4 linked regions of the Arabidopsis thaliana genome follow. The protein of the gene in region 2 interacts with the protein of the main gene of each other region in a pairwise test. Each region holds a gene or a part of one and is shown on either strand. Other genes may lie near its edges.

What was found.
Region 1: the proteins of PRA1.B6 (region 2) and NodGS interact in a two-hybrid assay, tested with the Arabidopsis thaliana proteins (one large-scale study listed by BioGRID).
Region 3: the proteins of PRA1.B6 (region 2) and ATFP8 interact in a two-hybrid assay, tested with the Arabidopsis thaliana proteins (one large-scale study listed by BioGRID).
Region 4: the proteins of PRA1.B6 (region 2) and RABE1c interact in a two-hybrid assay, tested with the Arabidopsis thaliana proteins (one large-scale study listed by BioGRID).

What each region holds. Positions count from the first base shown.
Region 1 is NC_003074.8:19,705,108-19,711,964, forward strand, and holds NodGS (nodulin/glutamine synthase-like protein), read left to right. Parts: upstream 1-1,712; 5' UTR 1,713-1,960; coding exon 1,961-2,122; intron 2,123-2,326; coding exon 2,327-2,676; intron 2,677-2,764; coding exon 2,765-2,880; intron 2,881-2,957; coding exon 2,958-3,063; intron 3,064-3,205; coding exon 3,206-3,362; intron 3,363-3,434; coding exon 3,435-3,530; intron 3,531-3,596; coding exon 3,597-3,645; intron 3,646-3,774; coding exon 3,775-4,046; intron 4,047-4,161; coding exon 4,162-4,334; intron 4,335-4,419; coding exon 4,420-4,540; intron 4,541-4,623; coding exon 4,624-4,676; intron 4,677-4,768; coding exon 4,769-4,898; intron 4,899-4,975; coding exon 4,976-5,121; intron 5,122-5,191; coding exon 5,192-5,380; intron 5,381-5,456; coding exon 5,457-5,689; intron 5,690-5,772; coding exon 5,773-5,915; intron 5,916-6,018; coding exon 6,019-6,081; 3' UTR 6,082-6,353; downstream 6,354-6,857. Other genes in the region: AT3G53170 (LOW protein: PPR containing protein), read right to left, coding at 1-728, 815-1,124, 1,234-1,310.
Region 2 is NC_003076.8:2,204,105-2,207,428, reverse strand, and holds PRA1.B6 (prenylated RAB acceptor 1.B6), read right to left. Parts: upstream 1,430-3,324; 5' UTR 1,309-1,429; coding exon 658-1,308; 3' UTR 501-657; downstream 1-500. Other genes in the region: SNX2b (sorting nexin 2B), read left to right, coding at 284-364; WRKY26 (WRKY DNA-binding protein 26), read right to left, coding at 1,782-1,950, 2,038-2,166, 2,264-2,616, 2,696-2,821, 2,964-3,116. UniProt on the Arabidopsis thaliana protein: May be involved in both secretory and endocytic intracellular trafficking in the endosomal/prevacuolar compartments.
Region 3 is NC_003074.8:3,708,583-3,713,342, forward strand, and holds ATFP8 (Ras-related small GTP-binding family protein), read right to left. Parts: upstream 3,036-4,760; 5' UTR 2,816-3,035; coding exon 2,802-2,815; intron 2,721-2,801; coding exon 2,648-2,720; intron 2,536-2,647; coding exon 2,488-2,535; intron 2,404-2,487; coding exon 2,356-2,403; intron 2,283-2,355; coding exon 2,211-2,282; intron 2,019-2,210; coding exon 1,863-2,018; intron 1,530-1,862; coding exon 1,426-1,529; intron 1,011-1,425; coding exon 908-1,010; 3' UTR 549-907; downstream 1-548. Other genes in the region: AT3G11720 (Polyketide cyclase/dehydrase and lipid transport superfamily protein), read right to left, coding at 1-18, 99-139; AT3G11740 (LURP-one-like protein (DUF567)), read left to right, coding at 3,845-4,054, 4,330-4,560, 4,664-4,760. UniProt on the Arabidopsis thaliana protein: Protein transport. Regulator of membrane traffic from the Golgi apparatus towards the endoplasmic reticulum (ER).
Region 4 is NC_003074.8:16,915,718-16,920,566, forward strand, and holds RABE1c (RAB GTPase homolog 8A), read left to right. Parts: upstream 1-1,809; 5' UTR 1,810-2,069; exon of another isoform or gene 2,070-2,185; 5' UTR 2,186-2,190; coding exon 2,191-2,263; intron 2,264-2,446; coding exon 2,447-2,519; intron 2,520-2,622; coding exon 2,623-2,723; intron 2,724-3,257; coding exon 3,258-3,323; intron 3,324-3,425; coding exon 3,426-3,523; intron 3,524-3,609; coding exon 3,610-3,672; intron 3,673-3,762; coding exon 3,763-3,855; intron 3,856-3,939; coding exon 3,940-4,023; 3' UTR 4,024-4,301; downstream 4,302-4,849. Other genes in the region: AT3G46050 (Galactose oxidase/kelch repeat superfamily protein), read left to right, coding at 355-1,467; AT3G46070 (C2H2-type zinc finger family protein), read right to left, coding at 4,728-4,849. UniProt on the Arabidopsis thaliana protein: Involved in membrane trafficking from the Golgi to the plasma membrane.

The sequences.
Region 1 (6,857 bases), on a different chromosome or scaffold from region 2:
ATTCTTCCAGCTTTTCCAAACGTCTCAATCACTATATTGTAAGTGACAGTCGTCAGGGAGAAGAACCTTTTCTCCATAAAATCCATAACAGAGCACATCTTCTTATACATACCAGCTTTTCCAAATGACAGGATCAGTATGTTAAATGTAGTGATATCCGGTTGCACCCCCATCAGCTGGAACCGACTATACCAGCTCTCCATCTTCCTCATGTTGCGACCATTTCCATATGACCCAATGATCGAGTTAAGCGTACAAACATCCGGAAGAGAATCTCCGTCCTCGATCATATCAGCCAGAACACTTTCCATTTCCTCAAACATTCCAGCCTTTCCATACCCATCAATAATAGTATTGTAAGTAACCGTGCTGCATCCAACTCCAAGATACGACATCTCAAGAACGATACTTTTAACCAGATCAAACCGACCCAGTTTGCAGCAACAACTGATGAGAACAGTAAAGGTGAACACATCTGGCTTGCAGTCACTAACAGATTTCATATACTCAAGTGTAGAAAACGCCTTGTCTAGAAGCTCGCTTTTGCCATAAACAGAGATAAGAGAGGTATACACATCAATGGTTGGTTTCAATCCTTCAGATAACATAACTTCGAAAAGCAAGCTGGCTTGATCAGGCTGTTTACAATTCCCAAGCACTTTAAACAGCTTTGTATAAGTTTTGCATCTTGGTTCATACCAATGCTGCTTCCTAAGAAGATTGAAAATCTATAAAGTAGAGAAACAGGAAAGTGAATTCTATCGAATCTATGTCCAAGTATCTGTAAGAATGAAGAAGGATTAAAGAGCTGTACCTTGAGAGCAGACTGCCATCGATTCTCTTTGATAGCTTCGTCAAGAGCTTCTAGAACAGCTTTTGGCCATAAAGTTAAGTACTTTTCGGAATTGGCTTTCCTCTCAATGCCCTTCACAGCAGCATCTGTTCTCAGAATCCGAGACAATTCTTTCTTAGGATCTACTTGGTGTCTTGTTGAGATCAAACCAGAATTCATTTTCTCTGTACGTTCGTTGGGGACCTTTGTCGAACACATTGTGGGCGTTATTGAAATAGTTGGTATACACCGAAAATAAACAGGGGAAGATATATGTTGCTGAACCACGCTTCTGCAAGAATGAGAAACAGAGAAAGATAGATTTAATATAAACACAACTGAAGAATTAAAGAAACGTAAAATTCAAAACAGTATGATTGTATGAAATATGAGAATGTTACCGAGAAAAACCAAGTTGTGCGATCTCATTGGCGTACGCGGAAGTAGTTCCTTGAACAGGATTTTGTATCAATGCCATCGAAGAAAAATGGTAGAAAGATAAGGTGGAGAAAAAGAAACTGCAAATTTTCTGGGTAGAAAGCAGAGCTAGAAGACGACGACGATACCGTTGTTTTTCCTTCGTTTTTTTCTTCTTCTCCGGTTTGGTGTAGCTTCTCTTCGGTTTGTAAAATATAATGAAATGGTTTTAGTTTTGATTTGGATGCCGGTTTAATTTGGATTTACAAAATTAAAAATTTAGCATTAATCAGTTTTTTCTTGTCCGGTTTAAAGGATTGGATTGATGAAGGAAGAACCAAATGGAGCTTTTTCCAATTTAATTTTGAATTCGAATTTGTTAAAACGAGATTGTCCTTGGCAAGGAACCGGAATTTGGAAAATGAAAAACCAAGAACACAGTTGAAAGTTATCCACACTAGTTAGGACACGTGGAGGCTAATGTATTTCACGTGGACACGTGCTCATCACTCTCCTCTAAACGCCGTCGTGAAGTTTAAAGGTCAGAGACATCGGCCACCGACCAAATCAGACAAGGAAAAGTCAACGATTTGATTGGATCTTCTTCACTTATGCTTTAAAACCGTTCCTGTAATAAACTGTGAAGATTGTAAGAAGATTAACACGAATCAAGAACATCGAACTGTTGACTTTAGACAGAGAGAGACGGAGATGGAGTTTAGTGAGTTAAAGGAAGCAATAGAGAAGATAGAGCTCGTTGATGCTCACGCACACAACATTGTCTCTCTTGACTCATCTTTTCCGTTCATCGGAACTTTCTCCGAGGCTGCCGGCGACGCTTTAACCTTCGCTCCTCATTCTCTCTCCTTCAAGGTACACGACGATACCAAGTGTTTTTGCTCTAGTTAGTTTTCGTTTGAATCAGATTCTAATTAATGAAAACGTTAGCTTAAAGTTTCCTAATTAGTCTCAAAAGTATTAGTTAACTAAAGTTTCGAGTGTTACTCAAAAGATGTTGACTTGTTTAGGAATCTCGTGAAGTTGGTATGAATGTTTTTGGTTGTATGAATGAAACAGAGGAACTTGAGGGAGATTGCTCAACTTTATGGCACTGAAGTATCTTTAGAAGCGGTTGAGGAACATCGTAAAACCTCGGGTTTGGATTCTTTTACTTCCAAGTGTTTTAAAGAAGCTCGAATCTCTGCTCTCCTCATTGATGATGGATTAAAGCTAGACAAGAAACATGATATTGAATGGCATAGAAACTTTGTTCCATTCGTTGGTAGAGTGTTGCGTATCGAAACTCTTGCCGAGCAAATCCTCGAAGAGGAGTGTCCTGGTGGTTATTTCTATGGTTCTGAGAGTACTGAACCGCCTGTTTGGGATTTAGATTCTTTCACCAAAACCTTTGTTGAAAGATTAAATTCATATCCTTTTATCTTTGCTTTTTTAATACACGCTTAATGATTGTGACTATACTCACTAGTATTGGTTAACCTTGACTACTTCGGTCACGCTTGTTCCAGAGATTGTTGCTTTGAAAACTATTGCTGCATATCGTAGCGGTTTGGATATTGATACTTATGTGAGTAAAGAAGTTGCTGAGAATGGCCTTGTTGAAGTCTTGCGAGGTAAGATGGTTGTGCTTGGTCTATCAAGAAGTAACATAGTTGTTGTCTGATCACCTTAAAATCTAATATTGCTGCAGCTGGAAAGCCTGTCCGCATAGGAAACAAGGGCTTGATTGACTACATCCTTACCATTAGTTTGGAGGTCGCTGTGCGTCGCGACTTGCCCTTGCAGATTCACACCGGGTATGCAAGATTTGATCAACTATATGATTGATGTTAGTAAAGTCTGATCTTTTTATCAAACAAACCTTACACAGAAACAGAAACTCATGCTCAGAGGTTTGTAGTAATGAAAATTCTCCTTTTCTTTTGTTGTTTGAGCCAGTTTTGGTGACAAGGATTTGGATTTGAGGTTGTCGAATCCTCTTCACCTTAGAACCCTTCTTGAAGACAAAAGATTTGGAAAGTGTCGTATAGTTCTTCTTCATGCAGCTTATCCATTCTCAAAGGAAGCATCCTTTCTGTCTTCAGTTTATCCTCAGGTTTTTCGTCATCCCATTTCAATTATCTGTAAAATCATGCCTAGTCATTAACTTATTTTCTTGTTCCTTAAGGTTTACCTTGATTTCGGCTTGGCGGTTCCAAAGCTTAGTGTCCATGGTATGGTTTCTTCAGTTAAAGAGCTCCTTGACTTAGCATCAATAAAGAAGGTAAAATTTATTTTACTTGCATTATCTTTGTTATTGTTCATGAGTAACCATAAGATATTATTGCAGGTTATGTTCAGCACTGATGGGTATGCATCTCCTGAGACCTACTATTTAGGTTAGCTCAAGTTTCTACCTCTTTTCTATAGTTTGTAACATACTTATATATGTTCCAATCCTGTTTCTAAGCTTTGGCACTTGAAATCGTCTTGCTTCAGTCTTGAACATAGCTCGCTGTTTTTTGCAGGTGCAAAGAAAGCACGTGAGGTTATCTTCTTAGTTCTGAGTGATGCTTGTGCCAGTGGTGATCTCTCACTCATGGAAGCTATTGATGCAGCTAAAGACATATTCTCACGAAATTCTATTGGATTTTATAAGCTTAATATAGACACAGATTCTTCTAGTCCACAAAATATAATATCTCCCAAATTGAAGATAAAGGAGCCTGATGTTCAAGAAGATAGTAGTTCTTTTGTACGCATTATTTGGGTTGATACATCTGGACAACAAAGATGCCGTGTGAGTTTTTTTTTTTTGGTTTCTTCTAAAGAAAAAACCTCTGTTTCCCACCTCAACGATTTTTCCTTAGAAGCACAAAAACTTAACTAGAATTCTGTTTATTGTATTGTTTCAGGCTGTTCAAGCGCAGCGTTTTAACAGAAGTGTGAAGAAGAACGGCGTTGGTCTGACCTTTGCATCAATGGGGATGACTTCATTTACTGATGGACCAGCAGAAGAGTCTAAATTGACAGGTGTGGGTGAGATTAGACTTGTTCCAGATCTATCAACCAAGCAGACAATACCTTGGTACTTTACTCGTGTTCATTCTCTTTGGAGTTAATTTTACAGATGTTTCTTTCTTAATTGTTTCCGTATCATATTTTATCATTAGGACGAAGCAAGAGAGCATGGTTTTAGCTGATATGCAATTGAAGCCTGGTGAAGCATGGGGGTACTGTCCACGAGAGACCTTAAGAAGGGTCGCAAAAGTTCTCAAAGATGAATTTGACTTGGTAAGAAATCTCCATATAGCCATTCTACGAAAACTTTTATTTGCTTTTTGGTTGCTTAAGCTCAAATCTTCCTTGGCTTTTAGGTAATGAACGCTGGTTTTGAGAATGAGTTTTATCTCCTCAAGAACGTTGTGCGGTATGCGACTATATATTTCTTGAATACCGGTTTCTTTGTTCAATCCAATCATTTTCACAATCTTAACACTTGTTCTGTCCATTTTTTAAAAGGGAAGGGAAAGAAGAGTATATGCCTTTTGACTTTGGTCCTTACTGTGCCACATCCTCATTCGATGCTGCATCTCCGATCTTCCATGATATTGTACCCGCACTCGAGTCCTTGAACATCGAAGTTGAACAGGTTACAAATAATTCAAAAATCCCTCATAATGATCAGTCTGCAACATGCTTCTTGACATGTATGAAATTTTTTCATAGTTTCATGCTGAATCCGGGAAAGGTCAGTTTGAAGTATCTCTCGGTCACACCATTGCATCCCATGCTGCCGACAACTTGGTCTACACACGTGAAGTTATAAGATCGGTTGCAAGGAAACAGGGATTGCTCGCAACCTTTGTTCCAAAGTATGTCAGTCTCTCCCACCAAATTATTCGTTGTAACTGCAAATTTTTAACATATGTGTTTTTTCTTCAGGTATGATTATTGTGACATTGGTTCTGGATCACATGTGCATCTAAGTCTTTGGAAAAACGGCGAAAATGTCTTCCCGGCATCTAATAACTCATCTTCTCATGGAATCTCTTCCGTTGGAGAAGAGTTCATGGCCGGAGTTCTATTTCATCTTCCATCAATCTTAGCTATTATAGCTCCACTCCCAAACAGGTAACTCGAAAACCGTACTTTTCGAGTAATTTCCTCAATTGTTATTAAAAGTTGTGTGTGTCACTTAAATTTCCAGCTACGACCGAATCCAACCTAATACATGGAGTGGAGCATTCCAATGTTGGGGCAAAGAAAACCGCGAAGCAGCGTTAAGAGCAGCTTCTCCACCAGGAACTCCTGATGGTTTAGTTACTAACTTTGAGATAAAGTCTTTTGATGGCTCTGCAAATCCTCACCTTGGTTTGGCTGTTATAATGGCTGCTGGTATTGATGGTCTCCGGCGACATCTTCAACTTCCTACTCCAATAGGTAACTAAAAACTTATGTTATTCATTCTCATGTATATGTAGTGTTAATATGAAGCTTGATCTTGAGTTGTTCGGATGGAACAGATATAAATCCGGCGGATGTGGCTGCTACATTGAACAGACTTCCGGAAACGCTCTCAGAAGCTGTTGAAGCTCTGGACAAAGACAAAGTTCTCCACGATTTGCTCGGACAAAAGCTTTTAGTTGCCATAAAAGGAGTCCGTAAGGTAACACTATAGTCTTTTAGTTTCCCATTAGATTCTCAGTGGTAACAAAGTACATTAGCACTAATCTATTGTTTTTGTCTTTTTAAATTTTTTTGTGTAACAGGCTGAGGTCGAGTATTATTCGAAGAATCCGGATGCATATAAGCAACTCATTCACCGATACTAATCCTTTGAGCATCTCTATGATGATTGTTGGATCATTTGGTTTTATTGTGGACTTTGTGTCACATGAAGGGTCGTATTTGCAAAATACTTGACATAAAGATGTGGTTCAGAAAATTAATAAACTAAATTTCATATTTCGAGACGCATGCTCATGCTGGAGTACTATTTGTATTTCTTACTTTTTCGTCCCATGCTTTCAAAAGCCTCAAGAATATACAGAGTATTTTCAATAATACGGAGTAGTTCTTAATCATTTACATTTGTCTATGAATTGAATTTGACTACTAATACTCGGAAACAAAAAAATGATTGTAGTATTAGGAGCGCAAATACCCTTTAACCATTGTTCTTTCCATGTTCTTAGTCCGGCTATTGTTATCTAGGTAGGTGCCTGATCCCTTTTTTTCAAATCTTTCTTATTCATTACTTTGACTAATTAACCTATTTAATCATATTTAATCTCCCTTTAATCTGCAAACTAAAGCACATGTTTTTTTTTATGAAAGAAAAGGTTAGTATGACATTCTTTTGGTAAATCTCATCATATTATTTATTTAATTTTAAGAAATTGGAGTTTAAAGTGTAATTAAGTTATGCTACCTAGCTAATTTCCTTAAAATATGAACGATAAGTATAGAAATTAAAGTAAAGATTAGGTTTATACGGTACGCTTATTATGCTCAAACAAGTGGACGAACAAAATCCATCTCCATGTGACTATGGAAGAGAACTTATTAATAAGTCCAAATTTTTTTCTTGCAAACTTTATGATTTCAT
Region 2 (3,324 bases):
AATTAACGAGAGAGTGTAAAGCAAGATCTTTTAGCTCTGAAATGGAAGAGAAAAGTCAGTGAGTGTTATAGGGGATGCTATGATTTGGGGACTTTCTTTCATGAAATGGATTCACCAAAAGGAATATGATTTGAGATATTTGAATGGATGCTTGAAAATTGGTGAAATCTGCTCTCTTGCAATGCTAGTGAATGCTGAGAAATCTGAGTGAGATGTTTGAAATAAAGAGATGAAAATATGTAAAAAGGTGTGAAAACAGAGTTGTTGGTATTTGAATGTGCAGGTTGGATATGCAGAGAAGATCGCCAATGTGTGGACAAAGGTTGCTGAGGAAACAAGGCAATACGATAGAGAGAGCTCTTAACATGAGAGCACAGTGTAATTTATTCTTATTCTTCGATTCATGGTTTTGAGCTTAAACCAATTTGTCGTATCTTTTTTACTTTGGTGTCAAAAAACAAGAGAGAGTTAGTAAAATTCTTCTTTACTGACTCTCGTTTTAATGGTGTATAGTAAGATGAATTGTGTTTCAAAATTCCAGCAACAAAGTAAACAAAACAGAAATGACAAAAGAATGGTTACAAGTTACAACAATTCAATATGAATAAATATCACACTTTGGAAATGCGGTGTAGGAATGTAGTCTCTTCAACAATCTCAGACTCGAACGCGTGACATTGCTGAGGTGGCTATGGCAGCGGCAGCTGCATTAGAGGCATTGTTGTTGAAGAATGCGAAAAGTCCAGATCCAATGGCTTCTTGTTCTTCAAGAAACAGGTCTTCGGGAGCACGAAACGCTCCGTGGATGGCCACGCCCATGATCCCAACTGCTAGAGTGGACATCAAGAGCGATCCAACGCTGGTCATGAACATCACCACCACAGTGGACAGGCAGAGTATCCCTAGCGTCTCAAGATCGGAGAACGTGCGTCCTCCAATGACCAACGGCTGATCCGCCGGACGGAAAAAGTAGAGGAAAAGCCAAGAAGCGGCCAGCGATGCGAGGAGGAAGAGAGCGAAAGGGTGCGTGAGCAGAGACGCGGCGAGTAAGATTGCCACTAAGGTTATGTAATTGGCTCGGAAATAGGAAAAGTTCTTCCTTACTCGTGACGTTGCCTCCGAGAGCGATGGTGGCCGGGAAAACGCTGACCGGTCAACGAGCTCTGCCCAGGGTCTGGCATCTGCAGAAGCGTGACGGACGGTGGCTAGAACGCGGGACAAGAGGACGCGTAGAGAGCTCAGCAACTGTGGATCGCCGCCGGGAAGTTGATCAGGAGTAGTCGAAGTTGGGAGAAGAGGAGAAGCCATTGCAGCAGATCTACTTTGCGGACAAAGTCAGAGAGTGCAGAGAGAGATCTAAAAGTAAATGGCTTTCACGATTTGCTGGCTTTACTTCAAACTGTCGGCTACTATCACATGTGCTTTTGCGTCTTTCTTTCTTTTTAAAGAAACATAAAAATATTCCGCTCTTTGTAGTAATATACATTTATGTGTATGCCTTTGTGTGTTTATCACATCATTTGCCACCATCCATTCCATTCCATCATCATCATGTCAAACACTTGGTGTGATGTATGTTTGATTTAATATCTTGAAACAGTTGAATAAAGATTTATCGTCGGTAGTGAACATAGGGGGCAAAATGATGGAGAAGCTTGGAACTTTAGCCTCTGCCTAGTCCTGATCAGTTATGTGTGTATAGGCGCATGATTAAGGAAACATACTATATATGAATGAAAGATTACAATAGGAATGCTGAAATGCCAAAACTCATTTGCTCTTTATGTCTCTGTTTTTCCAAGTAACCTTAAAACTGGACCTCTTCTTGGGGTCGGGATTTGGTGTTTGTGTTTTCCTTCGTAAGTTGTGATCACTGACTTGGGATCTTGAAATGCTCTTTCAACGTGTTTCCTTACAAAACATCCTGTAAATGTGCACTTGTAATAGCTCCTGCACATCACAAATTTAACTAACTTATAGCTCAAGCTTCAAGCCTCCTTTTCATTCAGAATTGACAAGAGAAAAATAAAACCACACCTTGGATTTGGATTACCCTTGACGACTTTCTGACCATACTTTCTCCATCTGTAGCCATCGTCAAGAATGTCTATATCACTTGTTGTCTGAACCACCACTCTTGGCTCCTTCACATTCTCTTCTCTTTTCCTGCATTTATAAGCCATTCACAACAAATCCAATCAGACATCTCATTGTCTCCTCATCCTTTTGGTTTCAGTTACTTAATTATGAGTCTGCTAATTACCATCTCTTGGCCTCTGTTTCATCTTCACCAATGTCTTTACCGTCTCCATTACTGCTGTTCTGATGTGCTGCTATAGCGGTGGAAGATGATCGCTTCGTGGATTGGGGCTTGGGATGATTGTGGCTTCCTTTATAGACAATCTCAATCATCTGACCCTTCACAAGAGACGTCTCTACTTTCTTCTTTGTGAGACAATTTGGATACGTGCATTTGAAGTAACTCCTCGGGTTTTCGCTTCCTTTGACTTGCTTCTGCCCGTATTTGCGCCAATTGTAGCCGTCATCAGAGGTTTTGTTACTCGACATGATTTCGGATTTGAATAAATCCAGTTGAGGTAAAGGCTGAGTTACCATCTGAAAATGAGATAGTTTAAAACTAGAATGTCTTAAGAGATAATAAAGCAGAAGCTAAAAATGCAAAAATGGATCCTACAGATGGTAGGAACAAGGGAGGAGTTGTGTCTTCATATTTGATTTCATTTTTGTCAATGAGCAAACCGTTATTGTTATAGTTCAGAGATTGCGCTGGAAATGTGCCTGTCGTAGGAGACGGCAAAATCTGTGATTTCAAGATCAAAGAAGAAGATGATATGAGAGAAGAAGAAGGGAAATGGACAAATCAAGAACCTTGAATTCTTTCAATATTCCAAGATAAGGACAAACAATCATAGTTTGAAACGTTGGAGGAGATAGATAGATACGTTGGAGGAAGTGAAGAGAAGAGGAGAGTCGAGAAAGTCGGCGGGAGTAAGGCCAGGAGGCATAGTGAAGTAAGGCGAAGGAGAAAGAGGGAGCGGTGACGGTGTTGCTGTTTTGAATTTCGGAACAGCTCTTTGGCGATCAAAAGAGCCCATCAATGGTTTACGTATGAGGTACTCTTCTTCTTCTTCTTCTTCCTATATTAAATTACGAGTTGGATAGAAGGAAAGGATGTTTCCAAGGAAAAGCAAGCAATTATAAAAGATAAGCTTGTGACCAAGTGTGAAGCGTGTGTATTCAAAACACCAAAATGTTTGACTTTTTTGTGTAAGGCGGCTGAATTCACATCACTTTCAGGAGTCC
Region 3 (4,760 bases), on a different chromosome or scaffold from region 2:
TCTCGGGAATATACATATCTGGAGAATGTGAAGAAAAAGTCTCATTACCAATAATAATAAGAATTGGATTTGACAAAGTTTGAGAGTCTGTGTCAGACTTTATTTTAGAGGGACCAGGTCGGTTAACTGTCGTTGTCATGAGATCTTTCCTGTCTGTCTTTTTATCATTCAAACAAAAAAAAATGAATTTATAAAACTTAAACACAAACAAATAAGATCACTTTTGATTTATTTTATTTTTTAAATAAGGATGTGCAGGAATGAGATTTTCTTCTAAAATTGTGGGAGTAAATGAATGAATCTAGGTATGATTGATTTCATCAAAATCAGAAAACTGATTGTTTCTAGAAAAACATGCATTTGGGGTATTTTGAAACCACATGAGTATATGATGAGTTATTATAAACTAGAATTGCGTTGTAAACGAAATAGAACAAATCTTCTTTTGGAAATCCGTATACTTTAGCGTAAGAAAATGGAAGAATTTGATTTGGACTCGTATCTTTGAAGTATATATAATTCAGCATTTACATTATTGAGATTTATCTCTCATATGTTGTTTTTGCTTTTCCTCATTCTATGGACTTAGCTGCAAGTTTTAAATATCTATGGTAATGAACATGGTCCAGCCTATACAGCAACGAATATCTATCACTATTTTTAATATATATACACAATCAAAATTCAAAACCATGAGTTGCTTGCATATCCCTGTGTGGTCAAAGTCAAGACTGAACTATATTAAAGAGAAGTATCTTGCAACTAACACCATAGCTTATTCAAGACACAGCGACATGGAATATTACATTTCTTAGTTGTTTTAAACAGCCATTGGTTTTCACAACACTTAGTTAAAAAGGAAGTAAAAAAAGAGTCTCAGATAGTTTTGATTAAAACATTTTTTAAACTACTGACCGCAGCAACCGCCATTGTTCTGTTGGATTGGCTGACCTTTCATTTGGACAGTTCCAGGACCAGATGTCTTGTTTGCATTCGTTTGGCTTCCCATTCTGCAAAGAAAATGAGTTACGATATGATTAGACTCAATTCTCCATGTTACATAAACTAGACTGAATCAGCAAATGTCGATACAAGATATCAACCATATGGAAAATCTATCAACAGAAGTTAAGTACACAAGCTTGAGGAAGCTACAAGGATACAGCAGTTAGTTTGTTGATTTGCTTTCCATTAGTCATCAAGTCTAGAATAGCACACTTCGGATTTGAAACTTTACATGAATAGTTTATTTCATGAAAACAGTGGAGAATCAAGATGCTTTGCAGCAGAAAAAAACACAGAGAATGATTTGATGTATATAATGGTGATCAAGGAATATAGTAATAGAACAAGTTTACTAAACCTAATCTATGTTAAATCTTCGCAGAAAAAATTATGGCGAAAGATTAAAGATAGTGAACATACTTCTTTTTTATCTCGCCAGCAATAGTTAAGAATGCCTGTTCAACGTTAATAGAATCCTTGGCACTGGTCTCAAGAAAGGGAATTCCAAGCTCATCTGCTAAGGCCTGCAGTGATTTTGAGTAGATGAAATGTAAGAAAACCAATTCACAGTTGTATCAGGAGTAACAGCTGCTGCAAAAATAAGCAATTTCTACTCGGTGGATTCAGATCATCTAGCTTTGGGAATTTGGTCAGAGATCATCTACATTCATAGCCGTAAATTCTGGTATAACAATCTCAATGGTTGTAATATCATCACATGGTTAAAGATATGCGAAACCATGAAATGATCAAATGAGGAAAGGGGAAAGTACCATGCAAAGGATGTTATGCATAAGATAGAAGCAAAATCATAAATGGAAAAATTGCTGGGAACTTAACTAGGGATGTGAGCTTACCCTTCCAGTTTCGGTGGAAACAACTTTGCTTTCAACCATATCATTCTTGTTACCGATTAAAAGCTTGCAAACACTCTCATTGGCATATCTATCGATCTCACTCAACCACTGCTTCACATTGTTGAAGCTTTCCATCTCAGTACAGTCATAAACAATCTGTTGCAATTATCATCATTAAGGTTCATCACTTAAAGGGTGGATTACAACATTAAAATGATTCATATTCCAACATTACAATACCAATCTCAGACTAAACCACTTAAAATGAGAAATGGAAATAGGGACATAACACTAGTCTAGGTAAGCCAAAAAAAAGCAAGTAAGAAAGCGAATATAAAGATTGCTCACAATGATTCCATGAGCTCCTCTGTAATAGCTGCTAGTGATGGTCCTGAAACGCTCCTGTCCAGCAGTATCCCACTAAAAGAGAGCAGCAACAGTAAAATTGAGTAAACACAATCATCCAAAACATATTATATAATTGAAAACTCACAATTTGCAGCTTAATCGTCTTCCCATCCTGCTCAATCGTCCTAATTTTCTGCAAAACCAACCACATTATAAGTAAGTTTGGGATAAAACAATCTCGATCATGTATGTAAACAAGGTCAAAGAATGAACTTACGAAGTCAACACCAATGGTGCTTATGTAGCTGTCAATGTAAGCATCATCCTAGAAATAGCAACAAATCCCAAAATCACGAAACAGTACAAAAGAAGAAACCTAACACGAGCTAATTCTCGACGACGGAATCAATTAAGAATCAAAATCAAGTCAAACTCACAGCGAATCGGAGAAGAAGACACGATTTTCCAACAGAGGAGTCACCGATCAACAAAAGCTTGAACAGATAATCGCTACAACAACAAAAAATCGAAATCGGTGTGAGTAAAATCGAAAACGAAAGAATGGCTCTCAAGGAGGAGAGAAACACTTACTACTCGTTGCTCATGATTTAGCTGAAGACTGCGTTTCCGAGATTTGATTTTCCAAGATGAGAACAACTTTCCGGGAAAAAGCTCTTTTTCTCTATAATATAAGAAACAAAAAAAAAGAGAGGTTTGGGTTTAGGGGGCGTGTCAATCAATTTACATGAACATTGAACCCCACGACTTCTACTGGATTTTTTTGTTCCCAGTTTTTTTAATATTTGTTTAATTCCTTGTTGTTTTTCCCGAGACAATAAAGAAGCTTTGACCTTGTCTCACTGATTTCTTTACGTGTGTGTGTCTTCTTATTTGGGCTTTTTGATAAATGGGCCGAGCTCAAAATCTTGTCTATCTAACTTAACCGTCGTTAACGTCCTGGCCCTGTTATTAAAGGTTTGGATTTTATTACTCATGTATATGTCTCAATTTTTATTTTTATTTTTTTAGAGAAGATAATTTTACATAAATTTGATTTATAATCCGTGATCAAGATGTGAGGAATTAAATATAATGAAGTATTTAAAGCGGATTAAAAAGGTATATTGAAAAAGAAAAGAAAAACTTTGATTGAATATGCATGGATTTTCCAATTTTATATGACAGTATATTTTATCAACAAAATCATTCTCTTTTTCATACTCCATTCATATCATTTTTAATTAAGTCATATTAATCCTACCAAAAGTTACCTTCTAATTTTACGTTTCTTCTAATTTCCTTTTCTGGCAAAAAAGAAGATATTTCCTCAATTTATAATATTTTTTTTCCATCAAACTATTTTTTTTTATATAACCAAAAAAAAAAAGTGTAGTAACGCTAACGTGTTTGCAGCTTGCAACTTGGCTAGCAGATTTAAAATAAGATAAGTTCTAAAAATAAACAAAACATATATAGCCAAAAACACAAAATTAAAAACACGAAGATTTGTTTCACACAATACTTGGAATATCCTAATTATAAATAACTAAAAAGATTGAGAAACGAACACAAATCTCCACCTTATACAAGAATCGTAAAAGAGAAAAAAAAAACAGAGAGAGATCTTCAAAAAGATGGCGATCGTTAGCCCTAATTTCTGTGCACCGTACCCTATCGAGTTGGGAATCGTACGGAAGGTGATGACTTTAACCGATGGTAACTTCGCCGTCACGGACGTTAACGGCAATCTCCTTTTCAAAGTCAAGGAACCTTTGTTTAGCATCAGCGACAAAAGGATTTTATTGGACGCATACGATACTCCAATCTTGACTTTGAGAGAAAATGTAAGTATACGTCTATCAACTACAATTCTTTATAACTTGCATGGAGAGGCACAATTTTTTCATGGTGATACAAAAAAAAAATTTCATTATGCAAATCATATATACACAAACATGCTCTTATAACTTGCATGGAGGTACACTTTTTCAATACGTCTATCAACTAATTGTAAATAATATCAAAATCATCATCACTCATTCGAGTATGTTAAATCGTCATAGATCATCCAATAAAATCTGATCCACAACTTTTTTTTCTTATAACATAAAAATTGTAGAAGGTGAGCTTGCATGATAGGTGGCTAGTATATAGAGGGAAGAGTACAGACCAAAGTGATCTATTATACACATTGAAACGATCTTCAATGATTCAAATAATGAAGCCAAAACTAGACATCTTTTTGGCTCATAATAAAGAAATGAAGATTTGCGACTTCCATGTTAAAGGAAGTTGGATCGACCGGTCTTGTGTCGTCTACGCCGGCAAATCTGATGCCATTGTTGCTCAGGTAATTACACTGATCAAATTGTCTGTAAATTGTATAAACCGGACTAGCTAGTTATATGATCGTGTTAATTGAGTCATTGTTGTTGTTTTGTTGTTTTTTTCAGATGCACAAGAAACATACGGCACAAAGCATATTAATTGGGAAGAGTAATTTTTCGGTTACTGTCTATCCGAATGTTGACTTTGCTTTTATAGTTTCTC
Region 4 (4,849 bases), on a different chromosome or scaffold from region 2:
TTCTTGACTTATCGTTATATGTGGCATTTACTCATTTTAGTCTCGTGCTCTTCTTGTTTGTTTTCTTAAAACATTTTAATATGTTTTTCATTTACAATGTTCATCAAAATACAAACAAATCTCTGAGGGAACTGTGAAAATTCGAAAAAGATTTTAGAAATACTGACAAAATAAGTTAAAATTCTAAGAAACAAAATTTAATAGTTTTCCTTCCAACAAGGTTTCTATGCTACATAGGTATAATTTTAGGTATTCTTCGTTAATAAATTTGAAGGAAATAACTAATAACGCACAAAAACCCTAAATCAAAAACCTAAGAAGACGTTTACCAGAAACAAAAAAACTAAGAAGACAATGACGACGAAAGAGAAGAATAAATCATCAAACTCACCGCCTCCGACGTCGTTTTCTTCGTTACCGGACGACATCGTTCTCAACTGTTTGGCTCGTGTCTCCAGATTCCATTATCCAACTCTATCCCTAGTCTGCAAGGGTTTCCGATCACTCCTAGACTCCCGTGAGCTCCACGCAACACGATCTTGCATCGGAAAAACCGAGAGTTTCCTCTACGTCTGCTTAGACCTGCATAGGAATTGCTATCCAGACTGTCCTCCACGATGGTTTATAGTTTCCCCGATTACCAAACAGAAACTGAAACCTATCCCTTCGGTTACTTGTCAATCCTCAACCGTTGTATCAATCGGTTCAAAGATTTACATAATCGGAGGCTTCGTTGATGGACATAGTAGCAGGAGATTGATAGTACTCGATTGTCCATCTCATGGATGGCGTAGACTCCCCGAGATGCGTGTACCTCGACAAAACGCAGCAGCTGATGTAATCAACGATAAGATCTACGTGATTGGAGGCTCTAGTTCCAACAATATCGAGGATTGGGGAGAGGTTTATGACCCAAAGACCCAAACTTGGGAGCCAGTATTGCCCACAACACTAGATCTTACTGTTCAAATGAGTGTGGTTCCAGGTAGCTTGGTAATGAGTGGGAAAGTTTATGACATGAATGGATTGAAGCTTAACTTTCAGAAGAATATTTGCTTGGTGGAGATAGAGAACATGATGTGCCAAACAAAGGTTTGTGAAGGGGTGTTAGTTTGGTGTGAACCAGAGGAAGATCGTGGGTGGTGTCCGGTTGATGGACTTGAAGGACTTCCCAATAGGCCAACTTCTCCTGGTTATCTTACCTCGGTGGCACATTCCGACCGAGGAAGAAGAGTAACAGTTTGGTGGGAGTCGGCTGTGTTACATCGTCTAGGTCCCAAATGGACTAAGGAATGTAAAACAGAGATTTGGTGTGCAGAGATTTCGTTTGAGAGACGCGGTGTTGGAAAGGTTTGTGGATTTGTTGAATGGTCTAAGAATGTCTTTACTAAGGATGACTACAAAACTTATAAGTTACCTGCTTCTCTTTCTGATTTCTTCTTGAATTCTACCATTGTGACATATTGATCAATGGAAGTTTATGTTAATTTTTGAGAGAGTTTTAAATTCTTTTGTGGGGATTTTGTTTAGAACATCTTGAGTATAGATTTTATGATAATGAACGAAAATACTGGTGGTGTTTATGTATCTCTAATAAATATGCAGTTGCGTAAGAACATAAACATCAACACACTTCTTATGAAAGAGTTATATATTGTTGAAAAGTATAGTTGTATAGTAGTAGTATATATTTCCAAAGATGACTTCAGATTACATTAGTATACAGTAGTAGTATTTGATACCAAATATAAAAATAAAAATTACTATAGCATTGTTTTAGTCCAGCTAATTGATTTTAAAGTAATTAATAAAAGGCCCATAAGGCTTCGTGCCTTCTTCTTTCTATATAGGCCCTTCAAAAAAGAATCCTTCTCTCTTTTTCTGCGCACTCCTTCGTTTCCAACTAACGTGCGCAGTGTATCCTATCGTGCACGCGAAGCAGACGAAGAAGAAGTAAAATAGAAGAAGCCGGGAAACAAAAGCTAAATCGGGAACTGGCGCATTTTAGTCGTCCGCCATAACCTTCGCTCTCTGATTCTTCCGATTACATCGGTTTTCTTCTCTCTCCGGTACATGATCTTCTTCTTTCCCGCAGCCGATTCATTCGATTTCTCCCTCTTTTGTTTGATCTAATTCGATTTCGATGAAACTCAGATTTTGATCTTTGAGTTTTTGTTTCCTTTAGATTCAATGGCTGCTCCACCTGCTAGAGCCAGAGCTGATTACGATTATCTCATTAAGCTTCTTTTGATTGGAGATAGCGGTACGTTGATCTGAAACCTCTCCGATGTTTTTATCGTCGATCCGTTGAAATTTGTTGAATCTGTTTGATTTCCATTGAATCGATCTATTCCACTGTGATTTTTGTTTGTGATTAGATCGTTGTGTGGATCGGTGTTTGTATTGAGAGATCTCTGTAACCTAAGGTTTTTTTTTTTTGTTGCAGGTGTTGGTAAAAGTTGTCTTCTTCTACGTTTCTCTGATGGATCTTTCACCACTAGCTTCATTACCACCATTGGGTTTGTGTTTTCTCTTTGCTTATGGAGATAAATTGAATTCTGTGATGTTTGTTTTGGATTCTGTTTTTACAGAGTCTTGTTTCTCTATTTTGCTTTGATGTAGCATTGACTTTAAGATAAGAACGATTGAGCTTGACGGTAAACGTATCAAGCTTCAGATTTGGGATACCGCTGGTCAAGAGCGGTTTCGGACTATCACCACTGGTGAGTTCATCTTTTTCATAAGAATTGCTTGCTGGATTAGTACTTAGAGCATTCACAACATCAGTAATGAATCAGATTAGATAGATTCTCGAGGAGATGAACACTTACATGTGCTATGATCTCTTGTACAATGCCACTTGACTGATTTATTTTGTTTGGCTGATTACTTTACTTGGTCTTGTATAGTTGATGTTTATGGGCTATTTTCGACACTTCATAGTTCATCTTTTCGTATAAATGTACTCACTGATCACTTTGCTTAGCATTCACCATCACAATAGAAGTCAAGTTAGAAAGATTGTCAAGATGAGATTGATGACAAACGCCTATAAGTAGTCTAAGATAGCCACTTATAGTTCTAGGTAAAGGGGATGCATTTGTGCAATGCCAATTTACTGATTTGCTCTTTTTGGCTGGTTACTTTTGTAGGTACTGTCTAGTTGATATTATTAGGATATTTAGGCAGTTTATACTGATCTGTTTCTGTTGTTTCAACACCATTTTGACGATTCTTTTTCTCTCGCATTTTCGCAGCTTATTACCGTGGGGCAATGGGCATTTTGCTGGTGTATGATGTCACAGACGAGTCATCCTTCAACAGTAAAACTCCCACCATCAAGTCTTTCACTTACTGGTTTCTATAAATCTCCTTAACCAAAATGAACATCTCTTTTACTAACACGATTCTTGACGTTATTGCAGACATTAGGAACTGGATTCGTAATATCGAACAGCATGCTTCGGATAATGTTAACAAGATCTTGGTAGGGAACAAGGCTGACATGGATGAAAGCAAGAGGGTATGAAGCACACCACCTTTATCCCTGTTCCTTATTCACGACTGATCCTAATAATAATAGCTTCTTGGTCCTGTCAAAATTTTCAGGCAGTACCTACAGCAAAGGGTCAGGCTCTTGCTGATGAGTACGGAATTAAGTTCTTCGAAACAGTAAGTCTAACAATGCTCTCAATCTTCGAAACTAGATGGGTAGTGTTTACATTGCTTACACATCTAGCTATATATGTGTTGTTGTTGCAGAGTGCCAAGACAAACCTAAACGTGGAAGAAGTTTTCTTCTCAATAGGGAGGGACATTAAGCAGAGGCTTTCAGACACCGACTCGAGGGCAGAGGTTTGTTACATCTCTCTCTTTCACATCTTTGCGTTGTTAGGTCTGAAAACGCATTGATCATTCATGTTACGTGGTCAATTGCAGCCTGCAACGATCAAGATAAGCCAAACGGACCAAGCAGCTGGAGCAGGGCAGGCCACACAGAAATCTGCATGCTGTGGAACTTAAAAAAGTTTTAAAAGTGAAGTTTAAGTCGAAAAAAGTTTGGGGGTGAAGTGAAAAACTAAGATATCGTTGGGTGCTTATGTAATTTTTTGTTTTATGCCAACAATTCTGATTCGTTCTTCTAAATTGTCCTTCCTATTTGTACGAAGGTTTAATCGAAACTTGTATTTTTCTTTTCTATTACTGATTTTTTATGACGGTGACTGAATTGTTTATGTTGGTCATCACTTCTCTCTATATATCCTCTGTTCTTAATTTTTCTCTTGCTTCCTCTTTTATCAAGTCTTTAAACATTACTTCTAATACTCGTAAACTCATCTTTGACACAACCATAAGCAATACAAAACCATAATATGTACACTGCCTGATTTATGAGTCGTAAACGTATAATTGTGTTAGCAATCCAGTGATGAAGAAACTTATCATGTTTTAGTTGCACTACAGTTACTATAGCTGACACTTATATTGTAGTTTCAACACCAGTTAAACCATTCTCATAGTTCAACAACATTCTAGGGTTAATAAAACGTGAAACCAAAATTTAGCGAACAAGAAAATAAATCTTGAATAGTATATCAGATTGTATTCAGATCATGTATTCACATCGAATAGTAAGATAAATGGATCAACAAAGACTAAAACCATGTAAAAAGTACTACTCTATGTAAGATTATCAATAAAACTAAAACCCTAACGAACATGAAAAATCAGTACATCGTTCTTCCCAACTCCAATTCCGTGTTGACAAAGCTCTCCACCGAAGTTAAGTCGAAATCCAAACACGCCACTCTCTTCCCACTACTCGATTTCTTCAAAGTCGTCACCGTTG